Linked DNA regions of Callithrix jacchus. The main gene of each other region encodes a partner of the protein of the gene in region 2 in a complex. Links are inferred from orthologs where the notes say so. Each region holds a gene or a part of one and is shown on either strand. Other genes may lie near its edges.

What was found.
Region 1: POLR2F (region 2) and POLR1H share a complex: the UniProt entries of both Homo sapiens proteins name them as parts of the pol I pre-initiation complex. The link is inferred for Callithrix jacchus from reciprocal best matches to the Homo sapiens genes POLR2F and POLR1H.

Annotation. Positions count from the first base shown.
Region 1 is NC_133505.1:34,798,322-34,802,874, reverse strand, and holds the start of POLR1H (DNA-directed RNA polymerase I subunit RPA12), read right to left. Parts: upstream 2,957-4,553; 5' UTR 2,914-2,956; coding exon 2,843-2,913; exon of another isoform or gene 2,677-2,842; coding exon 2,522-2,676; exon of another isoform or gene 2,444-2,521; intron 2,285-2,443; coding exon 2,184-2,284; intron 1,978-2,183; coding exon 1,868-1,977; intron 1-1,867. UniProt on the Homo sapiens protein: Core component of RNA polymerase I (Pol I), a DNA-dependent RNA polymerase which synthesizes ribosomal RNA precursors using the four ribonucleoside triphosphates as substrates. Can mediate Pol I proofreading of the nascent RNA transcript.
Region 2 is NC_133502.1:208,959,318-208,963,312, forward strand, and holds part of POLR2F (DNA-directed RNA polymerases I, II, and III subunit RPABC2), read left to right. Parts: intron 1-111; coding exon 112-181; intron 182-623; coding exon 624-754; intron 755-3,995. UniProt on the Homo sapiens protein: DNA-dependent RNA polymerase catalyzes the transcription of DNA into RNA using the four ribonucleoside triphosphates as substrates.

The sequences.
Region 1 (4,553 bases), on a different chromosome or scaffold from region 2:
TCCAATGAATTATAACCTCAAAGCAAAGGTTTCTTAGGACACAAAAAGCACTAGCTGTAAAAGAATAAAAAGGGATAAGCTGGACCTCATAAAAACTTAAAACTTCTGCTCATTTAAAGAGGGTTAAGAAAATAAATAGGCAAGCCACAGTCAGGGAAAAAAAATCTTTTTTTTTTTTTTTTTTTGGTAAAATGACAACCAGCGATAGGAAAAAATACTCTTAAAAGATATATCTGACTGTGAATATTTTTAATCCATTGATGAGATGGTGAGAAAGTAAAGGCAAACTTCACACTGGTAAAAGTTATGCAAAACCAGAAATCCAGACAGTGAAAACTGAAGTCCCAATGAAACGTGACACTATGGTGCCCTTAATACTGTTATGACGGTCACTGAAAGCATAGGAAATGAGGGACAAAATGTAAAAGGTCTGATAGGAGATTCCCTGCATAAATTTGGGAACTGCAAAGAGCTGCCCTTTTTTGTAAAAGTGAACAAGAAAAGAAAAAATTCAACTCTATAGAAGGGGAATTTGTCTTAGTAGGCAGGAGAGAAAACTCTCTCCTGAGAATTTCTAACCATAAGCTAACCCTTACGTGGATTTGCAGCTCAAATTCATACTATCTGTCTGCTCCAAAAAACATGAAGCCAAGAATTTATTTAAAGTAATTCCAGCTTGATAGTGCTTCAAGGAAAAGAAATGCAAATGCTGAGAATACAGCACTCACTCAAGGTCTCAAAGAATTCCTACAGTTCAAGTTCTAAAAAACTCAAATTTATAGACAAAATCACAAAACAGAAAAAAGGCACCATGAGAGAGCAGAAACAAAAGACAGCAGCATCAGAAGACAAAATCCATGGATATCAGAATTATGAGACATAGACTATAATAACCATAATTAATATTTTAAATATATAAAGAATGAACAATTTAAAATATGATTAAGGAACTGAAAATTATTTAAAAATTGAGGAGATTTGAAAAGTAAATAGAATTCAAAGTAATAGCAATAATAAAAAATAATATTTAAAATAAACTGAAGACAGAATTAGTGACATGGAAGAGGGACCTGAAGAAATTACCCAGAAGGTGGCATAAAGAGAAAAGCGATTGAAATATGAAAAGAGGGTGAGAGAAATGGAGGACAAAAGAGACACCTCTCTTCTTGTAACTAATTAGAGGTCCAGAATGTGAGGACTGGGAACATGGGGGAAAGGCAATATTAAATGAGATGATAGCTGATAATTTTCCAAGGCTGATTAAAAAAAAAAAAAATTCACTCTCAGTTTCAGAAAGTGCAACAAATCCCAAACGGAATTTTTAAAAAATCACATTTTTATATACTGTAGTGACTGAAGGACACCAAAGACAAAGATGATGTCTTAAAATAATTCAGAAAGCCCATGTTCCCTAAATCGTGCGTGACTAATTTTCTCCAATGTAAAGCTACCTTGACTGCAGTTGAAGACTGCAGTATAAGATGCCGACCACTAAACAATACCTGCTTCTTATGTTTTTTGTTTGTTTGTTTTTTCATTTCCTTTTATATATCCTAAAAGTAGGTCAGACAGGGTAGCTCATGCCTGTAATCCCAGCCCTTTGGGAGGCTGAGGTGGGTGGATCGCTTGAGCTCAGGAGTTCAAGACCAGCCTGGGAAACACAGAGAAATCCCATCTCTACTAAAAAAAAAAGAAAAAAGTGTAATAAAAAAAATAAAAAAAAAAAACCAACCACAAATGTTCTTATTACCAGAACTGCACAGAAATGGGACGAAAGGAAATGGTGGTTTAGAACAACAACAACAGAATCACTGGATTTGTTTAGTTAGCAAACAGACTGAGCAGAGGGAGGGGAAGGGATGCCCACTTGCAGTTGGTACAGGTGTAGAAGACAGTTTGCCCTTCGTCTGCTGAACGCATCTGTCTGGTGTGGTAAGCCATTCCTTCATGACCACATCGAGAGCAGCGCCTGTCAACCTGGGAAGAAACCGGTGGGTTAGGGAGGCCAGTTCATATCCCCTCACTTCCCACAGGAATCAGGCGATCACTCCTCTCAAACATGGATGCTTTACATCTCTTTTCCCTCTTGGACTTGGGCACACAACTCTCCAGATCTCTGCAATCATTCCTCCGTTTCTTTCCTACCCACCTTATGGAGCCAGTCATTGAGCTCATTAACTTACCACAGGTCCCTGGAACTCAGGCCCTTCCTCCACCGACACAGGCATGGCTGTCCCCAGCTGGTGGAACACAACTGAAGTCTTCACAACCTTCCCCTCAAAGTCTGCACAGGCAAGTAAGAACTGGTTATGGAGACAACCAGAGGGAGCTGACACCGGAAACCTCCCCTTTCCCCTGACTGGTTAGGCCAGGAAGCCCTATATCCTTTCCTTCATTTTTCATCTCGAGACCAAATGTACAATTGCCTGATCTCCTGCTCTAGGGTCCCCTGCCGATCTTGAGGTCCCCAAGTTTCCGACCCTGGACCCTCCGCCAGGACCACTGCGTACAAGCCTCTCACCCCGAACGTTGATGTTGAAGCCACAGCGAGTACAGGTAACCGTATCCTGAGCCCCTGGCAGAGGCAGGACCGAGCCGCACTCTGAACAGAAATCCAAGTCCGACTGAAAGCTGGAGCAAGTGCTGGCTAGGTCCATGACGCATATGCGGTCAGGCCTGAAGAGGGAGTTAGAAGTTATATTAACAAAAAGAGAGGAATCCCCCCAACACAGAGGTCATAACAGTTCTGTCCCAGTACCTGGGAGTATATAACCCGAGCTCTCCTCCCACGCACGCCTCCTGCCTCTGTGACCAGGGAGCTGAAACGCCCGGAATGGCTTACCAGCTAGCGTCGGGTAGTAAAGGACTTGCAACCCTTTCCTGGGGCCGGCGAGAGGAGCGAGCCAACTCCATGGGCTAGAGCGGCAGCTCTACGCCCGCCGCTCAGCGGCGAGCTAGAGCCGGCTAGAGCGTCACGCATTCGGGCTGACAATTGGTTGTGACGTCATAAATAATTGCGAACCTTGTCTCGGGAGCCTTAGAGATGGAGCCTAACCTCTCCGAAGGGAGTTTGCGGCTTCACTTTCACCCTAGTGCTGAGACGTTGAGCACAAAATTCGTAGCCAATGCTGCGCTTCCAGCAAATTTTCCCACCAGTACCCAATCCTCGGATATTTATTCTTTGTCTCACATCCTACAGGAACCGAGTCCCGGGAGATATCCCCCTGAAAACTGTATTTTGCTGAATACTGATTTCTTTGGATTAGAGAACTACAACTATCCCTGATCCTGAGCAGGTTTTTCCCTTTTGCGGCTGCAGAGTAGTTAAAAAGAAAGCTAAGTGTTCTGGGACGTACAGTTTTAGTGTTCCTTGGGTCCCGCTGGAGAACGTGGGCTTTCAGCAGAGCGCAACTAGCCTTGTGTGCTTTGGGAACAGTTCGCCGCTTGTAAGGGGTAAGTCGGATTCTTGAGGGACCGCAAGTGGTGAGGGTGAAGTCAGGAGGTACAGGGTCCAGCCCTACAGGGTTCTGTGAGCCCCTCTCTGTTGGTGTGGAGAAAAGAAACCAGAAATAAAAGACATAAGACACAGAGATAGAAAGTTTGGGTGGGGTGGCGTGGGGTGGGGGGGGTTCACTGCCAGCCAGATCGCGGAGTCCGGCAGTGGCCCCGGTCGTGTCTGCGCATTCTGACTTTTTTTGAGTACAAAGCTGAGGGCAGGGTAAGTAGGTGTGGCATTGGTGGTTGGTGGTCAGCAACCAGGGGAAAGGTAGATGGGGCGTAGCAGTGATAGGGTCAAGTACATCACATATCATACAGGTACGGACCCAGGAATTTCTAGGAGCCGGGATGAGGCAAGGAGCCTAATGCGTTAGCACTTTTCCATACTTGTTAAGAAAGAACAAAGACATTAAGTTTATATTACTCTTACTGATTATCTCTTCTAAGAAAATAGGAACCTGGTACAGAAGTAGGACATGAGAGTGGACATGGAATGTGACCACTGAAGCACAGCATCACATAGAGACAAATAAGCCCCCGGATGCCTGTGGGTCTACCTGACAGCTGTCAGGCCTAAGGCAAGAGATTGGAGGAGTGGAGTTTTCGCTTAACTCCCCCGGTGAATGAGACGTCTCAGCCAGCTTTGGACGCCTCCTTCCCTAGCTGGCTCAACAGCGGGCATTTTCTCAGTGCTGACGCGGTAGCACAGCAGAGGCGGCCCTAGTCGCCCTTATGCAGGCATAGCTGCTGTAAAGCGTCTTGCTTTAGGGTCATTGCCCTCACAATGTCACCCCAGGTTCTCACTTTCCGGCCTGAGACCTGAGAGGCATTAGTAAAAGAATTAAGATCACCTATAAATAACTAAGATCACTTGTGAATAATTAAGCCATCACTATTTTCTCTTGTGAAGGACAGAAGCTGTAGTCTTTCGTTGGAAGAGGCTCCCATCTGCCTTTCTCTGTAATGGAGAGAACACCATAGCGAAAGGGTTAAAACTCAAACTGCTGAAGAATGACAAGGCCTATCACTTAACTGTGAAATGGCTTGTTATTTTG
Region 2 (3,995 bases):
CCATTTCCATCCCCCAAAGTACCAAGATTACAGGTGTGAGCCACCATGGTCGGCCCCTCTTTGTTTCTGGTAAGTGATGCTCTAACTAACTGATTTATTCTTCCTGTACAGTTTTGATGGTGACGACTTTGATGACGTGGAAGAGGATGAAGGGCTAGATGACTTGGAGAATGCCGAAGAGGTCAGTATTCAGCCTCAGGCTCCCACCTCTGCAGCCCAAGCTGCCAAACAGTCTGGCAGGTGACAGTAACCTGAATGTATCTGCCTTCTGTTTGTGTTCAGGGCCCCCTACCCGCTGGCGTAAGCATTCCCAGTTAGAGTGAGCTGTGTTCCAGTCTTGCACAGCAGAACAGCCCTGTGGGCTAGGCCTGAAAGCTTTTGTCCATGTGGTCCGCAGCCAGTGGCTTCTGGGGCAGTTAGTTCACTGACAAGTTAAACAGCACCTTCCTGCCTCATAAGGTTATTGTAAGGGACATGAGGTATTAGGAAGCAGTCACCTGGTCCCCTGGCATGCAGTGAGCATTAATGGTGGCAGGAGCGGTGATTATGATTGTTGTCATTATCACCCTCCCTGTAACCCAAAAATGCCACCTGAGATTTTCTCTCTTTTTTATCTTGTCCAGGAAGGCCAAGAGAATGTTGAGATCCTTCCCTCTGGGGAGCGACCACAGGCCAACCAGAAGCGAATCACTACACCATACATGACCAAGTACGAGCGAGCCCGCGTGCTGGGCACCCGAGCTCTCCAGATTGCGTGAGTGATGGCCCCTTCACTGTCCTCTGCATCTCTCAGACCATAGTGAGCTCCTGAGCCACTGATCTTGCCCAGCCCAGCACCTGAACGTAGACTCTCCACTCTCACATTCCAAAGGTGGTGCTGTCCCTGTGTACCAGGCATTGTGCTAGGCCCCTGCCCTCAGGGAGCTTGTGATCTAATAGGAGAACTAGGACTTGAACATCTGAGAAGTCAGGTAACAGTATGGGAGAAAAATGATACAAAAATCAGAACTGGATGGTTGCCCAGCAGATTAGTGAAGCAGAAAAAGCGTGAAGTCAGAGTCAATGTGTACCCGTGTTTTTTTTTTGTTTGTTTTTTGAGATAGAATGTTGCTGAGTCGCCCAGGCTGGAGTGCAGCGGCACAATCTCAGCTTACTGCAACCTCTGCCTCCCAGGTTCAAGTGATTCTCATGCCTCAGCCTCCCAGGTAGCTGAGATTGCAGGCATATGCCACCAAGCCTAATTGTTGCATTTTTAGTAGAGATGGGGTCTCGGCATGTTGCCTTGGCTCGTCTTGAACTCCCAGCTTCAAGTGATCTGCCTGCCTCTGCCTCCCAAAGCTCCGGGATTACGGGTGAGAGCCACGGGGCCTGGCCATGGTGGTTCTTTTTGCTTTATTTTCCTAGTCGAGGCCTCACTCTGTTGCTCATACTGGAGCACAGTGGCCTGATCATAGCCCATTGCAGCCTCAAACTCCTGGGCTCAAGCGACTTTCTTGACTCAGCCTCCCAAGTGGCTTCAAGCTGGGACTGCAGATGTGTGTCACTATGCCTGGCTTTGTATTTTTTTGTAGAGATGGGGGTCTTACTGTGTTGCCCAGGCTGGTCTTGAACTCAGCCTCAAGTGATTCTCCTGCCTCAGCCTCCCAAAGTGCTGGAACTGAGATTACAAGCATGAGCAACCACTCCTGGCTTTAAGGTGGTTTTTTTTTTGAGATGGAGTTTCGCTGTTGTTACCCAGACTGGAGTGCAATGGCACGATCTCGGCTTACCACAACCTCCGCCTTCTGGGTTCAAGCAATTCTCCTGCCTCAGCCTCCCGAGTAGCTGGGATTACAGGCGCGTACCACCATGCCCAGCTAATTTTTGTATTTTTAGTAGAGATGGGATTTCACCTTGTTGACCAGGATGGTCTCTTCTCTTGACCTCATGATCCACCCGCCTTGGCCTCCCGAAGTGCTGGGATTATAGGCATGAGCCACCGCCCCCAGCTAAGGTGGTTCTTGATGTGAGGTAGACTGTGGCCAGCCCAGCAGACTGGGGGCCCTCCAGCTTGAGAGCACACTGGAGAGATGAAAGCACAGAGTAGTGGTGGGGTTTTGGGGATTTGAAAATCAGTAAACTTTCTCTCTCATGGCTGGGAGAATAAAGATTCAGGAGATAGAGTAGACAGGTGGAGATCCAAGTGTCCAGTGAGTGCAGATGAGTTAGCCATAGGCAGTGCAGGCCTTCAGATGACTACTGAGGTTTGGGGCAGAGTAGAGAATACACTGGAAGCACCCTCTCCCAGCAGATGGCTTTGAGAATGCAGGGACTTTCAAAGAGGTGGGGCCACAGATGCCTGCTTTTCCCCCCAACCCAGGCTCACCTGTCGGAATAGTTACTCCTGCTTTCTTGTGAAGAGTAGGTGAGAGGACAGAGAGGGGTACTCTAATGGTACTCTGTGGGGAAGCATGAGACTGAGGACAGGAGCCCCTCCCCCAGACTCCTTATAGGCTGTTGTGGGAAATGGTGGGTATCTGGAGGAGGAGGCGTAGTTCAAGTAGGGAAGAGTGGAAATTAGTCTAGAAAGAAAAGCAGCTGGGTGTGGTGGCTCACACCTGTAATCCCAGCACTTGGGGAGACCGAGGCAGGAGGATTGCTTGAGTCCAGAAATTCAAGACCAGCCTGAGCAACATGGTGAAACCCCATCTCTGCCAAAATACAAAAATTAGCTGAGTGTGGTGGTGTGCTCCTGTAGTCCTGGCTACTTGGGAGGCTGAGGTGGGAGGATCACCTAAGCCCAGGAGGTTGAGGCTGCAGTGAGCTGTGATTGCACCACTGCCCTCCAGCCTGAGCGACAGAGTGAGACTCCATTTCAAAAAAAAAAAAGGAAAGCTGGGGCCAGATATGTGGACTCTGTGCTTGCAGGGCAGCAGTGCTCTCTGTACCTCCCTCCTCAGTGTGCAAGCAGCACTGGGCTGTTGTCTCCTCTAGTCCTGTGGGGGTAAAGATGACCATCATGTCTACCTCAATAAAGGTGGGCAACATTGTTCTCATTCATTCCCCTTCTCTGCTCTTCTGAGTGGCATTAGAGCCACACCCAGTAGGATATCTTTTGGTGCCACCAAGGTCAAGATCCTCTGGGCCTGCACCATCAATTATATTAGCCACAAATTGTATGTGGCCATTTGCATTAAGTACAATTAAATAAAATAAGACATTCAATTTCTGTCTCACTAGCCACCCACACTTCTTTTTCTTTTATTATTTATTCATTTTATTTATTTATTTATTTTTGAGATGGAGTCTTACCCTGTTGCCCAGGCTGGAGTGCAGTGGCGTGATCTTGGCTCACTGTATCCTCCACCTCTCGGATTCAAATGATTCTCCCAACTGAGCCTCCTGAGTAGCTGGGATTACAGGTGCCTGCCACCACACCTGGCTAATTTTGTATTTTTAGTAGAGATGGGGTTTCACCATGTTGATTGGACTTTGGGAGGCTGAGGCGAGTGGATCACCTGAGGTCAGGAGTTTGAGACTGTCTTGGCCCATGGCAAAACCCCGTCTCTACTAAAAGTACAAAAATTAGCCAGGCATAGTGGCAGGCGCCTATAATCCCAGCTACTCAACTCAAGAGGCTGAGGCAGGAGAATTGCTTGAACCTGGGAGGCGGAAGTTGTAGTGAGCTGAGGTCTCGCCACTACTCTAGCCTGGGTAAGAGAGCAGACTCCATTTAAAAAGAAAAAGAAAAGACGTAATCCCCAGTCCCCCAGGTGTTTCTGGCGGGGGAGATAGACCTGTGCACAGATACAACCCAAGGCAGACAACGAGTGGTGTTTTATGAAAGGTACAAAAAGGAGGGTTACTGCAGGGGTGACGGGAAAGCTTGTGGAGGGGTTCGAATTCTAGTGGGGACAGGTAAAGAGAGTTGGCATTGTGGCTCTTCCAGGTGCCAGAAACAGCCCAAGGAAAGGTCCAGGTGGAGGCAGGCAGGCAGGCGTGGATTTGTGGTGAGG